Oryctolagus cuniculus: one gene and its partners. The protein of the gene in region 3 binds, or shares a complex with, the protein of the main gene of each other region. Links are inferred from orthologs where the notes say so. Each region holds a gene or a part of one and is shown on either strand. Other genes may lie near its edges.

The links.
Region 1: SMARCD3 (region 3) and DPF1 share a complex: the UniProt entries of both Homo sapiens proteins name them as parts of the neuron-specific chromatin remodeling complex. The link is inferred for Oryctolagus cuniculus from reciprocal best matches to the Homo sapiens genes SMARCD3 and DPF1.
Region 2: SMARCD3 (region 3) and ACTL6B share a complex: the UniProt entries of both Homo sapiens proteins name them as parts of the BAF complex. The link is inferred for Oryctolagus cuniculus from reciprocal best matches to the Homo sapiens genes SMARCD3 and ACTL6B.

What each region holds. Positions count from the first base shown.
Region 1 is NC_091449.1:16,352,066-16,356,295, reverse strand, and holds the start of DPF1 (zinc finger protein neuro-d4), read right to left. Parts: upstream 2,969-4,230; 5' UTR 2,965-2,968; coding exon 2,822-2,964; intron 1-2,821. UniProt on the Homo sapiens protein: May have an important role in developing neurons by participating in regulation of cell survival, possibly as a neurospecific transcription factor. Belongs to the neuron-specific chromatin remodeling complex (nBAF complex).
Region 2 is NC_091450.1:42,839,300-42,843,873, forward strand, and holds the start of ACTL6B (actin-like protein 6B), read right to left. Parts: upstream 2,969-4,574; 5' UTR 2,848-2,968; coding exon 2,823-2,847; intron 2,414-2,822; coding exon 2,337-2,413; intron 2,144-2,336; coding exon 1,978-2,143; intron 1,689-1,977; coding exon 1,588-1,688; intron 1-1,587. UniProt on the Homo sapiens protein: Involved in transcriptional activation and repression of select genes by chromatin remodeling (alteration of DNA-nucleosome topology).
Region 3 is NC_091438.1:22,579,407-22,583,940, reverse strand, and holds the start of SMARCD3 (SWI/SNF-related matrix-associated actin-dependent regulator of chromatin subfamily D member 3), read right to left. Parts: upstream 2,823-4,534; 5' UTR 2,629-2,822; coding exon 2,551-2,628; intron 1-2,550. UniProt on the Homo sapiens protein: Involved in transcriptional activation and repression of select genes by chromatin remodeling (alteration of DNA-nucleosome topology).

The DNA.
Region 1 (4,230 bases), on a different chromosome or scaffold from region 3:
ATGTGCCAACCATAGCAGCCACTTGGGGGGTGAACCAACGGAAAAAAGGAAGACCTTTCTCTCTGTCTCTCTCTCTCACTAACTCTGCCTGTCCAAAAAAAAAAAAAAAATGAATGAATGAATCATGCCTGCACATAGTGTGCTCCACAAATACCACTGAGCACGAAGCAGGCACAGCTCTGTCCTGAGTTAATCCTATTTCGTACCTGTTTTTCAGATGAGGAGTCAGGTGGTCACAGGGAAGTGACCTTACATGCCCTCAGCCCCTGGGGACTGCTGGGCCAGGCCACTAGGGAAGGATTCATGCACCTGGACTTTGATCCCTCACCTCCTGGGTCACACACACACACACACACATGCACACACACACACACTCAATCGACCCTAAGGAATGCCTAGAAGGTGAGCTGACACACTAAGGCACATTCTCCCGTTTCTCTCTCTCTCTGTCTCTCTCTCCACACACACACACACACACACACGCACACGCAAACGCATCCCCCCTTCAAGAGCACCCTAGTTTGAGAGGCTGAGGGAAATAAACACGCCTGCACACCCCTTGTCCACTAGGGGGCGCTCCAGCGCACAGACGGGGCGGGCCAGTCTTCACCTCCTTTGTCAATTGGTCCCCTCCTCCTTGAGCGAGATCCACTCAAGGCCTCCGAAACTCGTGGTCACCTACACACACACACACTTCTAGTCCCTCCATAAACTCTCCTCCATCTAAGCCAGGTAGGGCCTTGACCCGCCCCTCCACCAGCCGCCGACGGGAGGGGTCGGGTGTCTGACTCACATCTGCTCAGAGGACTAAGTGGGACGCGCTGGCACCCCAAGCTCACTCTGGCCTCCAGGCTCCTTTAGTGGCCACCAGACACCTGACCCACCATGAGCCCTGCCCCCCAGACCCAGGCTCAGCACTCTTGCTCCACACACCTGCAGCCACAGCCTGACCAGCCGCCTGCGGCCCCGACACAGCACACTCAGTTTGACCCAGTGTGGCCTGGGTGTAGAGACCAGGTCACCTCCCAGAGGTCCTGGCCCACCAGCGGGATCTGAGCCCACAGACCCAGGCTGGCCCTTGCCTGACCTCAGTCACCCTCAGACCCCTCCCCTCCCACGAGCTCCCAGCCCTAAGTGGGTGCTGGCCCCAGGAGAAATCGTTACTGACCAGTACTGATGAACCAGTGCTGACTGGACTAATCATCACTGCGTTTAGCCAGGGTCAGGCTCCGCACCGATGGCTTCCCAGTGATCACCGTGTTTAAGCCTCGCTAGGCCTCACTCCCGGGAGTTAAGAACCGCTGTAATCCCCAGTTCACAGATGGTAACACTGAGGCGCGTGGGGGTGGGGGAGAATTAATGGCTTGAGCTGGGTTCTGAACTCCCCAGGGGAAAGGCACTGGCCTGGCCCCTGTGGCTGACCTTGGCCTCCAGGCACCTGCAAGGAGTGGCACCCTATTCCTAGTATTCCTCCGAGGGCCTGAGCCAGGGCCAGAGACAGGGCCCTGAGGGCCTGTGGATCCCATGACTGCGCAGGAGCCCCATCCCTGCCTGCCAGTTTGGGGGTGTCCCTCTTGGGTCTGTCTGTGTGCATGCCTTGGGGCAGGAGAGGAACAAGCGGTTGCCACCCCCACGCACCACCTCGCACTGACTCTGCTCGCACAGCAGGTGCGTGCTGCCAAAGTCCCTGCCCCTGCACAAACCCTGCTCGGCCACCTGGCACCCCCAACCCGGAAACCAGGGGCCAACAACTGGAGGGCCAGTGGTCCAGCCACCATACAGAGTCCTCATTAGGAGGGGTGCACTCGCCCACCCCCAGCTCTCCGCGCTCAAGGTCAAGGCAGCCAGCGCTGGGGCTTGGGGGCAGGGTGGGGGAGGTAGCCCCAGCCCCTTTGTGCGGCGCCGCCAGGCGCTCGCCCTCCGCCTCCTCCACCAGGCCCGGGAGGAGGGGGAGGGGAGAGAGGGCGGGAGCGGCCGCACGCCTGCCACTCAGAGCTGCTGTCACCGCCTGGGAAAGGGGGTGGGGGGCGCCAGGACCCAGGAGTCCGGGATCCCGAGGAGGGAACCAGAGAGAGGTGGAGAGGGCGAGGGACAGCAGGCGCCAGGCTCGGACCCGGGCGTCCTTATCCCAAGCCACGGGGCCGAGAGGAAGCCGGAGGGAGGCGGGCGTGGAGAAGGCAGGGGTTCCCCCGAGACGGAGGCGCAGCCCTCCCGAGGGGAGCCGAGACGCTCGGGCTGGAGGTGCACGGGCCGGGAGAGAAGGGAAGCCGCGGCCCCAGGCGATCGTGGCGTCGGGGCTTCTGGGTGCCGGGGACCCGGGGAGCAAAGGGGACTCGACCGGGGGCCCCCGACATCCGAGCCCCCACCCCGAGGCCAGCAGCGCCGGGGTCGCGGAGAAGGCGGAGGAGGTGTAGAGAAAGATGCTCGGGCGAGGAGCGAGGGGGTGGTGGGAACCCCGGAGACTCAGGTCCGGACTTGGGCGTTCGCGCGTCCAGCCCGCTCCGGGGCGGGCCCGCCGCCCCCAGAGACACCGCGCAGCAGATGGAGGCGGGGAGGGAAGCCCCCACCCCCAGCCCGCGCCACATTCCTTCACTGACAGCGACAAAGAAGAGGCGCCCCCGCGACCCAGGAGGGGCTCCCGTGCCCAGCCCCCGGAGGGGCGGCAAAGGGTGACAGTCCTCAGAGGCACGGGGGCGCGTGGGGGGACCCCCATTCCACTACCATCCGCGCGCTGGGTCCCCCTCCCCAGCCCCAGGGAGGGCGGAGGAAGGGCTGGGGTGCGGGGACTCCGGACCCGGGTCGGGACAGCGGGGACACTCACGACTTGAGCGGGTTCTGAATGGCGGTAGCCATGGCCCGCTCGGCTGGGCCGCCTCCGGCCCGGGGCGCCGCTGCCGCCGCGCGCGGGCCCAGCCCGGCCTGCGCCGCCCGCTCTGCCGCCCAGCGCGCTACGATTTCATTCATTCTTGGGGCTGCGGCGCGAGCGGAGCGGGGCGGGCCGGGGGCGGGGCTCGGCCAATCCCCGCGCCTCCCGGCGCACGACGGGACGTGGAGTCTAGGGGCGCGCGGCGGCGCCCGAGGGCGCCCCTGCCCGGACTACACGTCCCAGGGGGCGTCAGGAGGACCGCGCGCCCATTGGCTGCCGGGGATACAGGGCGGGGCGGGGCTCCTCCCGGAGCATCCTCTCCCCCTCCCCGGGGGGTGCTCTGTTCCCAGCCCGGGCTCTCCATTCCCGGGTGGTTCTGAGTCTCCCTGGGGTCTGTGGATGTCCCCAGGATCTGCGGCGGATTCTTGTCTGAGTCTACTTATCGGGGCGTCTCTTCGGGGTAAGCCAGTCTCTGACAACATGGGGGCTCATCCAACGCCTTTGTTCGTGTATTGACTACATGTGCCAGGCACTGGGAATGCAGCAGCGACCAAAGTCAAGTCGTTACTCTCAGGAAGCTGACGTTCTAGTGGAGAAAGACGATTTTAAAATAATAATAATAAAGGGATCTTTTCAGAAAATGCTGAGTGCTATAACAGAATTAAAATAGATTAGTTTGGGGGCTGGCGCTGTGGTGTAGCAGGTAAAGCCACCGCCTGCAGTGCCGGCATCCCATATGGGCGCCGGTTCAAGTCCCGGCTGCTCCACTCCTGTCCAGCTCTCGGCTACGGCCTGGGATAGCAGTAGAAGATGGCCCAAGTCCTTGGGTCCCAGCACCCACGTGGGAGACCCGGAAGAAGCTCCTGGCTCCTGGCTTCGGATCGGCGCAGCTCCAGCCATTGCAGCCATCTGGGGAGTAAACCAGTGGATGGAAGACCTCTCTCTCTCTGTCTCTGCCTCTCTATAACTCTGCTTTTCAAATAAATAAATAAATCTTCTTTAAAAAAAATAGTTTGGTTTGGAGGAGTGGCTGCACAGAGCGGGTGACTTTTGAGTTGAGCCCTGAAAAGTTGCCAGCCACGCATGACAAGTGGAAGAGCACAGAGGCCCTGAGGTGGGCACAGGTGCTTTGTGCAGAGCTGAGTAGGAAGACGTAGCTGGGGCGGGGGGGGGGAGGACCCACCTCCTGAAGGACCATGTGGGCAGCTGATTCTCTCCTAAGTGCAATCAATCATCCCCTACTCTCCTCTTCTTTCTCACATGCGCACGCACACACACACACCCAAGCCCACCAGCAAATCCTGACCTCTCTACAATTCACAGGGCAGGTCCAGCAACCCCCCATCCCTGTCCAGCATCGTCCC
Region 2 (4,574 bases), on a different chromosome or scaffold from region 3:
TTCTCTTTATATTAATAATTTTTTTAAATCATGGAATTGCTTTTTTCTCAGAAATATGGAGAGAGAGAGAGACAGACAGAGCTCCCATGCATTGATGTACTCCCCCAAATCCTTCAACAGCCAAGACTGGGCCAGGCTGAAGCCAGAAGCCAGGAACTCAATCCAGGTCTTCCACACGGGGGACAGGGATCCAAATAACTGAGTCATCACTTGCTGCCTCCCAGGGGTGCACACTAACAGGAAGCCGGAATCAGAAGCAGAGCTGCGACTTGTACCCAGGCACTCTGATGTAGGATGCAGGCATCCCAAGTGGCGTCGTAACCACTATGCCAAATGCCTGCCCCTCAATGATTGACTTAAAAAGGTGAATTTTATGTCATGTGAATTTCACCTGAGAAAGAGTAGTGCCTCAGGTTGTGAAAAGAAGAAAAGAGTGGCTGGTGCTGCGGCTCACTAGGCTAATCCTCCGCCTGTGGCGCCGGCACACCTGGTTCTAGTCCCGGTTGGGGTGCCAGTTCTGTCCCGGTTGCTCCTCTTCCAGTCCAGCTCCCTGCTGTGGCCCAGGAGTGCAGTGGAGAATGGCCCAGGTTCTAGGGCCCTGCATCCGCATGGGAGACCAGGAGGAAGCACCTGGTTCCTGGCTTCGGATCAGCGCAGTGTGCCGGCCGCAGCGGCCATTTGTGGGGTGAACCAACAGAAGGAAGACCTTTCTCCTCTCTGTCTCTCTCTCACACTGTCTAACTCTGCCTGTCCAAAAAAAAAAAAAAAAATCTAAAAAAGAAAATAAGAAAAGAGCAACCAGCAACAAACTTTGAAAGTTAAGGATGAGATCGGTGAGTAGTAACTGACTTAACAGATTTACAAATGCTGTAAGGCAGTACTGGGAAAAGCCAGGAACAACCTGTACTGAGCTTGGAACCCTGAGAGAACTAGAAATGGGCGCTGTCAGCTGGCTCTGGACGTGGGGGTGAAAGGAGAGCTAAAATCAGATTGTTTAAAGCCACTCAAGAAACAGAAAAGCGATCATGGATTCCCCAGCTCAGCCCTGATTAGCATACATAGTAACAGGAGGCTAAATAGTGAATACTGATCTTTCAGGAAGTCTAAGCCAGAACTGTACTTAAAGGTGGGGAATGAGAAGTATGTGTGATATAGGCTAGAGGAGGAGAGAGCTCAATGCTCTTTTTTCTAGTAGGAAATTCTTAGATGATGCCTAATATAGAAAACCTGCAAACAGCAATGTAAGTGTGATATTGGGAGATACGGAAAGAAATACAAAAAAAAAAAAAAAAAAGATAACAGGGAGAAAAGCAATGGCATTTGGAAAAGGGGAAATGGAAGAGGCGGCAAGAACTGCAGTGTTTCTTCTTAACATGTTTTACAAAGCAAATCGACCATATGTACTACAACTATTTTCAAGTTAAAGGATTAAAAAAGAACTGGAGAGGAGAGGGGCTTATAGAGCAGGAAGAGAAAGAGGTAGAGCAAGAGGAAGACAGGTGGCCCAAGATGACAAGGCTGGAAGGACTGTCTGAGAAAGGACAGGTAAGGGGTGGGAAGACTGTGCTGGGGCCCCAGGGCACTCACCGGGGCCTCTGACATGAGCACGGGGTGCAGGTTTGGCTCAGACTTGACGTGTTTGCTGTAGGTGTGATCCAGGATGGCTCGGAAGCACTCCCAGTCCTCAACTGGGGCCAGAAAGACACAGGTGAGGCGGGGAGGGGTCAGCGACGGGAAAGGAAGCAGGGAGAGACGCCAAGTCCAGGGGAGGGGGAGTTCAACTCCAGAGGAAAAGCCCCTTCCCCACTCCCGGGAATTTGGGGCTCCTGGGCTGGGAACCAGGCAGCTACAGGGGGCTCTGAGGAGGTCCCTGGGACTTGGACAGTTGTGAGGAGGACTCCGTGGCTGTGAGACAGAGTCCCACGGGCTGGGAGTGGGCTCCTGGTCTGACTCAGGGTCGGGGGGGGGGGCCCTTACTCATGCCGTTCTTGAGGGGCGACATGACCTCCGCTCCATCCCGAGGCACGTGCAGGGCATTGGTGTCAATGTGGAAGATCTTCCCCTTCTTCTCTTTCTCCCCCTCCAGCTCCAGCCCGCCCCCCTCCTCCGCGGCCAGCAGCCCCACCGTGGTGGGGAAGTCAGCCTGGGTGGGAGGGGGCAGCATGGGCAGAGAAAGGAAGATCACCCGGTTACCCGTTCAGCCCCAGGGCAGGGTCCTCAGCCCGCCCCTGGCTCTTCTCCCACACTTGCTCAGCAGAGCGTGTGGGCTCGGCTGGGAGAGCCCTGGGTTAGTGGCGAGCCTGGGGAGGATTTGGGAAGAGATCTGAAAGTCTCACCTTGGGACAGTCCTCCCCAGCATACCCGGCGCGGACCGAGAAGGAGCCAATGTCGAAGACCAGCGCCCCCACCTCATCTGTGCGGGGAGACAAGCAGGTGAGGAGACCTTCCCCAAACTCTGTCCTCGCGGACAGATCCGAGAGGAAGGGGGACAGGGCAGAGCCACAGTCCGAGTGGGGGCCTTGGAGTGGGGGTCAAGCCGCCAGAGTTCCCTCCTACCCGGTGGCCTTGTTCAGGCCACTCTCGGGGCTGGGAAGGACGGAGCCAGGGGTCGGGCGGAGAAGGGCTGGATAGTGGAGAGGCTGGGCCCGGCGCGCCTGGGGCGTCCCGGGAAGACAGAAAGTAGGGGTGGCACGGGACCCAAACCTGGGGTCGGACTCGCTCGAGCGCCGAGGTGACAGGCCCCGGGGTGCCCCGAGCTTGGGTGGCGCGGATACGGGGCGCAGGGCTGCGCGCGAGGCCCCGGAGGCCCGGGACCGGCTCACCTCCGCCGTAGACGCCCCCGCTCATAGTGCCCCTCGGTGCGGCTCGCGGCCCGTGGGCGGCGGCGGGATCAGCACCGCGGCGGCCGGACAGCTCCCGGGATCCCGGGCGGGCGGGGCGCGCGGCGGCCAATCGGGAGGCCGGGTCCCCCGCCCCCAACGGCTCCGGCGATTGGCTGCGAGGCGAGACAATAACCCGGCCGGGGGCCGCCGCTTTAAAGGCGCAGACACCTTCGCGCTCGGCGGCGGGGAGGACCCCAGGAAGACCAGCCCTAAGCAATGGGCGGCAGAGAGGAGAGTAGGAGAACGAGGGAGACCTTGTCCTCCCCGAGACCAGGATCCCACAGGGTGACTGATGGGGACCCTGCTGCCGTAGCTTTTCAAATGGGCTGTGGGGTGTGTTGGGGGGAGTGCCACCATCACAAGGTTTCTGTCACACCTAGGCCTGAAGGACGTCTCCCGGGAGTAGAAGGGAAGACAGAGAGGGCGCGACCCGAGGGGGTGTGTCTCCATCTCTTCCCCGTGTCTTCCCACCCTGGTCTCCCTCATGGCCTCTTTTCCTCTCCTGGGCCTTCCACCTACACACGTGCACACATGCACACACAGGCACTCAGCTGGCCTGTCCTTACCCTTCCCTCTCTGCTCAACCGCCTGTTCTCCCTGGGAGGCAATGATCACGGTGTCCAGTTTCTGGTAGGCCCTGGGTTCTTCTGGGCTCCCAGCACTACCAGCATAGCAGGTTTGGATAGCAGAAGTGAAGCAGCAGCTCTGACTGCCTGAGTCAGACTCTGAGCCTGTGCTGGCCAGTGTGGCCGTGTGTGTGTGTGTGTGCATGTACATATGCACATGTGAACATAATGTGTCGGCTGTGTGCATGTGCATATGCACACGTGAATATAATGTGTTGGGGCACTTCTGCACTCCCACCTGCTTGTTTGGGGTTTGGGAGCTGTGAGAACAGAAATGGCACAGGAAGAGGGTAGTGTGACTGCGGCATGTCCCCGAGGGTTCTCTGCTCACTGGTTGCCCCTTGTGGAAAAGACCCAGCTCTTCCCTCAACCAAAGGATGGGCTGAGCTGGCTCATTCATTACTTCCTGGTGACAGTGGCATTGCGCATACCCGCGGTGGGTTCCGAGTCCAGGTCTGGCTCCCCAGACTGGAGCCCTGCAGGTGTCAGTGGGAGGAGTGAGCTGGAGGGGAGGGAAGGAGCTGACCCAGCAGCTAGGAGATTGACATTTTCTCAAGTGACCACAGGCCAGTCACTGACTTCTCTATAATGTGAGGCCTGCATGAACTGCGTGAGCCCGCTAAGCTCCCATAGCCTGTATCTCTTCATCTTCCAAATGCTGGGGGTGGGGGTTTGAAGGGGTGAAAGAGATTCTGTTCATGCTGATCCTCTGCATGCTGTCTGCTGAACACTGAGAAATGTTGCCTCACTTCCTCCCAAGTCAGTTCCACTCCCCTTCAACCTCCATCTCCACCGGCCGTCTCAGAGTCAGGAACTTTCCCAGTCAGAAGAAACCTTACCAGTCACGAGTCCAAGCCCTGCGTTTTGCAGGGGTTGCCCCACATGGAGGCAGGGTGCTGTCTTGGCCACATAGCCCAGCGGGGGCGGAGCTGGGGGTGGAGCCACATCTCTTCTCAGCCAGTGAGATGTGACCTCTGTGTTCCCTCCAAGCTCTGCTGTCCCTGACCATAGGCTGCTGATATCCAGTCCCATGCCAGAATCAAGGACCTGGATTCTGTAAGCACTG
Region 3 (4,534 bases):
GGCAGAGGCACCGGATCGGTGCGGCTTCGGCGGAGGGGGCTTGGCGTGTCGCTGCAGGAAGCTAACTGAAGCCAGGCAATTGTCCAGGGCATTGCCGAGCCTGGAGCTGCGGAAGGTACCGCAAAAACGCACAGTAACTGGCAATGGCGCCTTTCCACCTTCCAAAGGAGGTTCACACCCTCACGCGCCTCTGCCAGACTCAGTGAACAGGTCCTCTCATTCCCACTTGACAGACGAGGCAACTGTGGCTCAAGGAGAACGGCGACCTCGCCAAGGTCACGCAGCTCATCTTGGCTAGGACAACACCTGAAGGGCTCCGGGTTCCTGAGGGCCGCAGCGTTTTGCCGTTTGCGGCTTCGTTGAAGTTAGGGGCTGAGCTCCCTGCTCTGACTTTCCTTACGGCTCCCTCCCTCTTGGTCTCCACTCCTCCAGCTGTTCTGCCTTGCACCGGCTCCTCCTCAGCTGCCCCCTCCTCTCTCCACGCCCTGCTTTTGGACCTCTGCATCCCAAACTCCATCCCCTCCAGCTGACTCCACACCCAGAGGCTTCAGCAACTAAGCTGGACCCCAAGATTTGCTCCCCGGGTGAAGGCTGAAGGCAGAGCAAGGGCAAAGGCACCTGAGGGGCTGACGTCACAGCCTGCCAGGATTCTGATTGGGAGGAGGGGGAGCTGGGCTGGAGGTGAGCTACCAGGGGGCCTGGGCCAGGTCAAAGGAAGCAGCGTGTCCACCCGCACCCATCAGCCATCAGCCAAGGCTTCACACCCAGCAGGCTTCCTCCACTGCTCACCCCCACCCCAGTGAAGCCAGGTTTCAAAGAGGGTGGTGGAGAGGGAGATGAGGTGGGTCATGTGCCCCTAGGTGGTTGGATGGGGTGTAAATGAGATGCAAATGAGTGAAGTGCTACTGCCACTTGTCCAGAGTTCAGGAGGGATATGAGGGTTTCAGGGGCTTGTGTAGCAGCAGGGGAGTGGGTGGGATGGGGACTGGGAAAAGCAGGAATCTTGGGGAGCAAGGGGCCCCTGTTGTCATTTATCCACTCCATTATCTCACCCTAGGCCCAAGGAGACGCCCCGATGCTGCCCCTGACTTTGCCCCTAAAGCCCTCCCACTCCCAGCCAGCAGCTGTCTCTGTCCATCTTTCCAGCAGTGAAACCTGCCCGACCATGTGTCTGCCTCCCCCCACCCCACCTGACCCTGTCACTCATGCTTCCAGGGTGGCAACCCAGAATGGAGCTAGCTGGTGACCATTCTCCGCCAGCCTAGATGGGGCACTGGGAGTGGGGATGGTGGGGCGCCGAGCCACCTAAGAACTGAAGCATTAAGTTGGCCATATATATATATATATAGAGAGAGAGAGAGAGAGAGAGAGAGACCCATGTCGAGCCTCTCTCCCTGCTAGCTGGGCCTTTTCAAAGGAACTCCCCGCAGCAGCAAGGCTAGGACCGGTGATGCAGCTGGTGGACATGCAGGCCCTGGAAAGTCGACCCCAGAGATGCCCAGCGCTGGAGGCCAGGCTGACCCAGGAACCCCCTTGGCTTTATCAGCTGGGCTCCCTCTCTGTCAAGGCCAGGGATACTGCCTGCTCTGCTGGGAGGCTTCCAGGGCCCCCAGGGAGCTGTGCCAGCCACCAGCACCACCCCCACAACAGGCCAAGATTCAGGGACTCTGGCCTCCCTCACCAAGAAGGTGCCCTCCTGGGGGGTCACGGCCAAATGTGGCCGCAGTGAACCTGACGTCGTCCCCTCTCGCGTCTCCACACCCAGCGTGGCCCCCGAGCCACCCAGCTCAGGCCTCTTCCGTGCCCTGCCTCGGGTTGCTGAGGCTGCCTGGGGCTTCCCACGTGCCTCTGGGGCTGCCCTGTCCCTGGGATCCCTAGGCCTCACGTCCCCGACTCCGGCCCTTTCTTCACACCTTGGAGATATTAAGGACAGGCGTCTGCCAAGGGGACGCTCGGACTCCTTCCACCTGGAGTCTGTCCCTAGAGGGAGCCTCTCCCTGACCCTGATGGCAGGGGCTACGCCGAAAATGCCCCAGTGCCCTCCTGCCAGGATACAGAGGTTGCTCAGCCAGAGGGCTTTCGCGCCCACAGTGCCTCCAGGGTCACCTGCTCCACGCTCTGGAAACAGAGTGACACCGTCCCAACGGATGTGAACAGACAACCCAACAGGGCTGCGCCGCGTCCCCGTCCCCCGCCCCCACCCCCGGGGAAGGGGTAACACCTGGGCCCGCTGGGGAACCCAGACAACATGTCGGCCACAGAAGGGGACCCCCACCTGGGTGGGGGGAGTCCCCCAGTCCCACGCCCGCCCCTGACAAGAGCCCGCGCAGTCGCCTGCCTTCCCCGCCGCGCGCGCCCATCCCCGGCCCGCCGCCTGACGACGTGTTGGCACGCCAGGGCGCCGGCACGGTCCCGGCGCTGGGCTGTGGCCGCGGCGCCCCCGCCGGAGGGGTGGGCGCGCGGGAGCGCCCTCCCGGCCCCTCCCGGCCATCCCTCCATTCAGCCCGAGCCAGCTCGCTCACCCTCCCCCGCTAACTTTCCCCCACTCACCACCCCATGGACCAGAAACTCAAAAAGTTTGCTTTTCGTGGCTTTGCGCGCCCCTCCGGCAACTTCGTCCGCGGCCATCGGGGTGGGCTCAGCGGCGCCTCTCACTCTCTCTCTCTCTTCCTCTTTCTTTCCCTTTTCTGCCTTTTTTTTCCTCCAACTCTCCCCTCTGAGTCCTGCTGGGCTCTCTCACACTTCTACTCGAGCGGAGTGGGGAGGGGGCCCCTTCAGGGCTGCCCTGACGGCCCACGGCCCACGCCGCCGCCGCCGCCGCCCGCCCGCCGCCGCTGCCGCCGCCGCCGCCGCGGCTGCCGCATTCCTGCACTGATAAGACAGAAATAGTCCGGCGGCCCGGGGTCTGCCTGTTGACTCGGCGGGGACGGGGACGCCGGCCTTTGCAGCCCGCGCTGTCCAAACAGCGCAGATAAGCGGCGAGGTGCGCGGCGAGCCCGGCCCCGCCTGGGCGCAGGGTAGCGGCGCTTGCAGCCCGGAGCCGCCCGAGGGCCGCGCGGGGAGCTGGCGGGGGGCTCGCCGGCCACCCGGGCTCTCGCCACAAATAGCTGCTCGGTTAGGGAATTCGCCGGCAGGGCCAGGCAGGGAACAGTCAGTTCCAACTTTCTTCCCTCCCCGAGAGGCTCCGGCTGCATTTCTGAGGCCCTTTCCCCAGAGACCTGGCAGGCCAAGTAGGGAAACATTCGCGGGCAGGAATCCGGGGGGGAGCCGAGGCCGGCCGCGCCGGGTGTGCCGGGGAGGAGGCGCTCCCTGCGCGCACGGCTGTGTGTGTGTGTGTGTGTGTGTGTGTGTTGTGCCCTTGTCTGGCGGCCGGCGTCCGCACCCTGCGGCCCGGCGCGGCGGCTGCGGGTGTTGACGAGGGCGCACGGACGGACGCCTCGCCCGGGGGCCTCGCTGCGCGGGAGCCGCCAGGCCTGCGCGCGTGCGTGGGGCCGGGACGCGGCCTGCGCCGCGCTCCGCTCCGCGCGAGGCTATTTCTGGGTATGTGGGTCTTTGTTTGCCTCTGTGTGAGAAAGTGAGGGCAGGAGGGCAAGTATTTCGGAAGGAGGGACGGGGACGGGGCTCAGAGAGCGCAGCGAGGGGGAAACGCGGGGCGAGGCGGCGCAGGGCCGGGCTGGGGGCTTCGGTGGGGGCGTCTGGGAAGCAGGAGACAAGCGGGGCTTGAGGGCCTAGGGGTGCGGACCCCGGAGGGGTCGGGCCCGCCTCAGCATCCCAGAGGAAGCCGGGGCGCAGGGTGGGGTGAGAGCGAGCCCCCGAAGGGGCGGTGTGCAGGGAGCTGGCAGTCCCTGGGGTGGAGGAGAGACAGGAAAGAGGAGGGGCGAATCCTGAGATCCCCAGACTGGGCGCCCTGGCCCCGCCCATGCCCCAAGGCCACGCCCCTATCTCCTCCTCCCGGAGGAGGGGCCCGTGGGCTTTGGGACGACAGAGGGTCAAGTTTAAGGGCCTGCTGGGGCTGCGGTGTCAACACAGGTGAGGGCGGGGCAACGGGACACCTACTTGAAGTTGGGCCCTGAAGACCCAGCATTGCCCTGCGGGTCCTGGCCCTCCTGCCTTGGGGAGTTCAGGACAAAGAACGCGGGACAGCTCTGCCCAGACTCTGCCTGCAGCCTGGTTTCCCTTGGGCCCCGACTGCGTGCGGGGCTGTGAGCGCCCATGTAGGTTCCCACTGTCTACTGAAAGGCAGAGAGGGTCTCTGCTTCAGGCTCTACCTCTGGCCTGGTGGGGGGGACCCAGAAATTCCCCCTTCCTACCAGGGCTTCACCCCAGGCCACTGCCCACCACCACCCACACACAGAGAAGCCCCGGCCATGGGGTAGCTTAGTGGTCAGCCACAGGCCATGAAGTGGCTGGTGGTAATGCGTGAAGATTTGCTCCCATCAGCCCGCTAACCTCATCCCCCTCCACTCACCCCCATTTCTAAGCTCCTGTTCCTGCTCTTCTTTCTCCTGGAAGACCCCTCCCTTCTGCCTGTCCA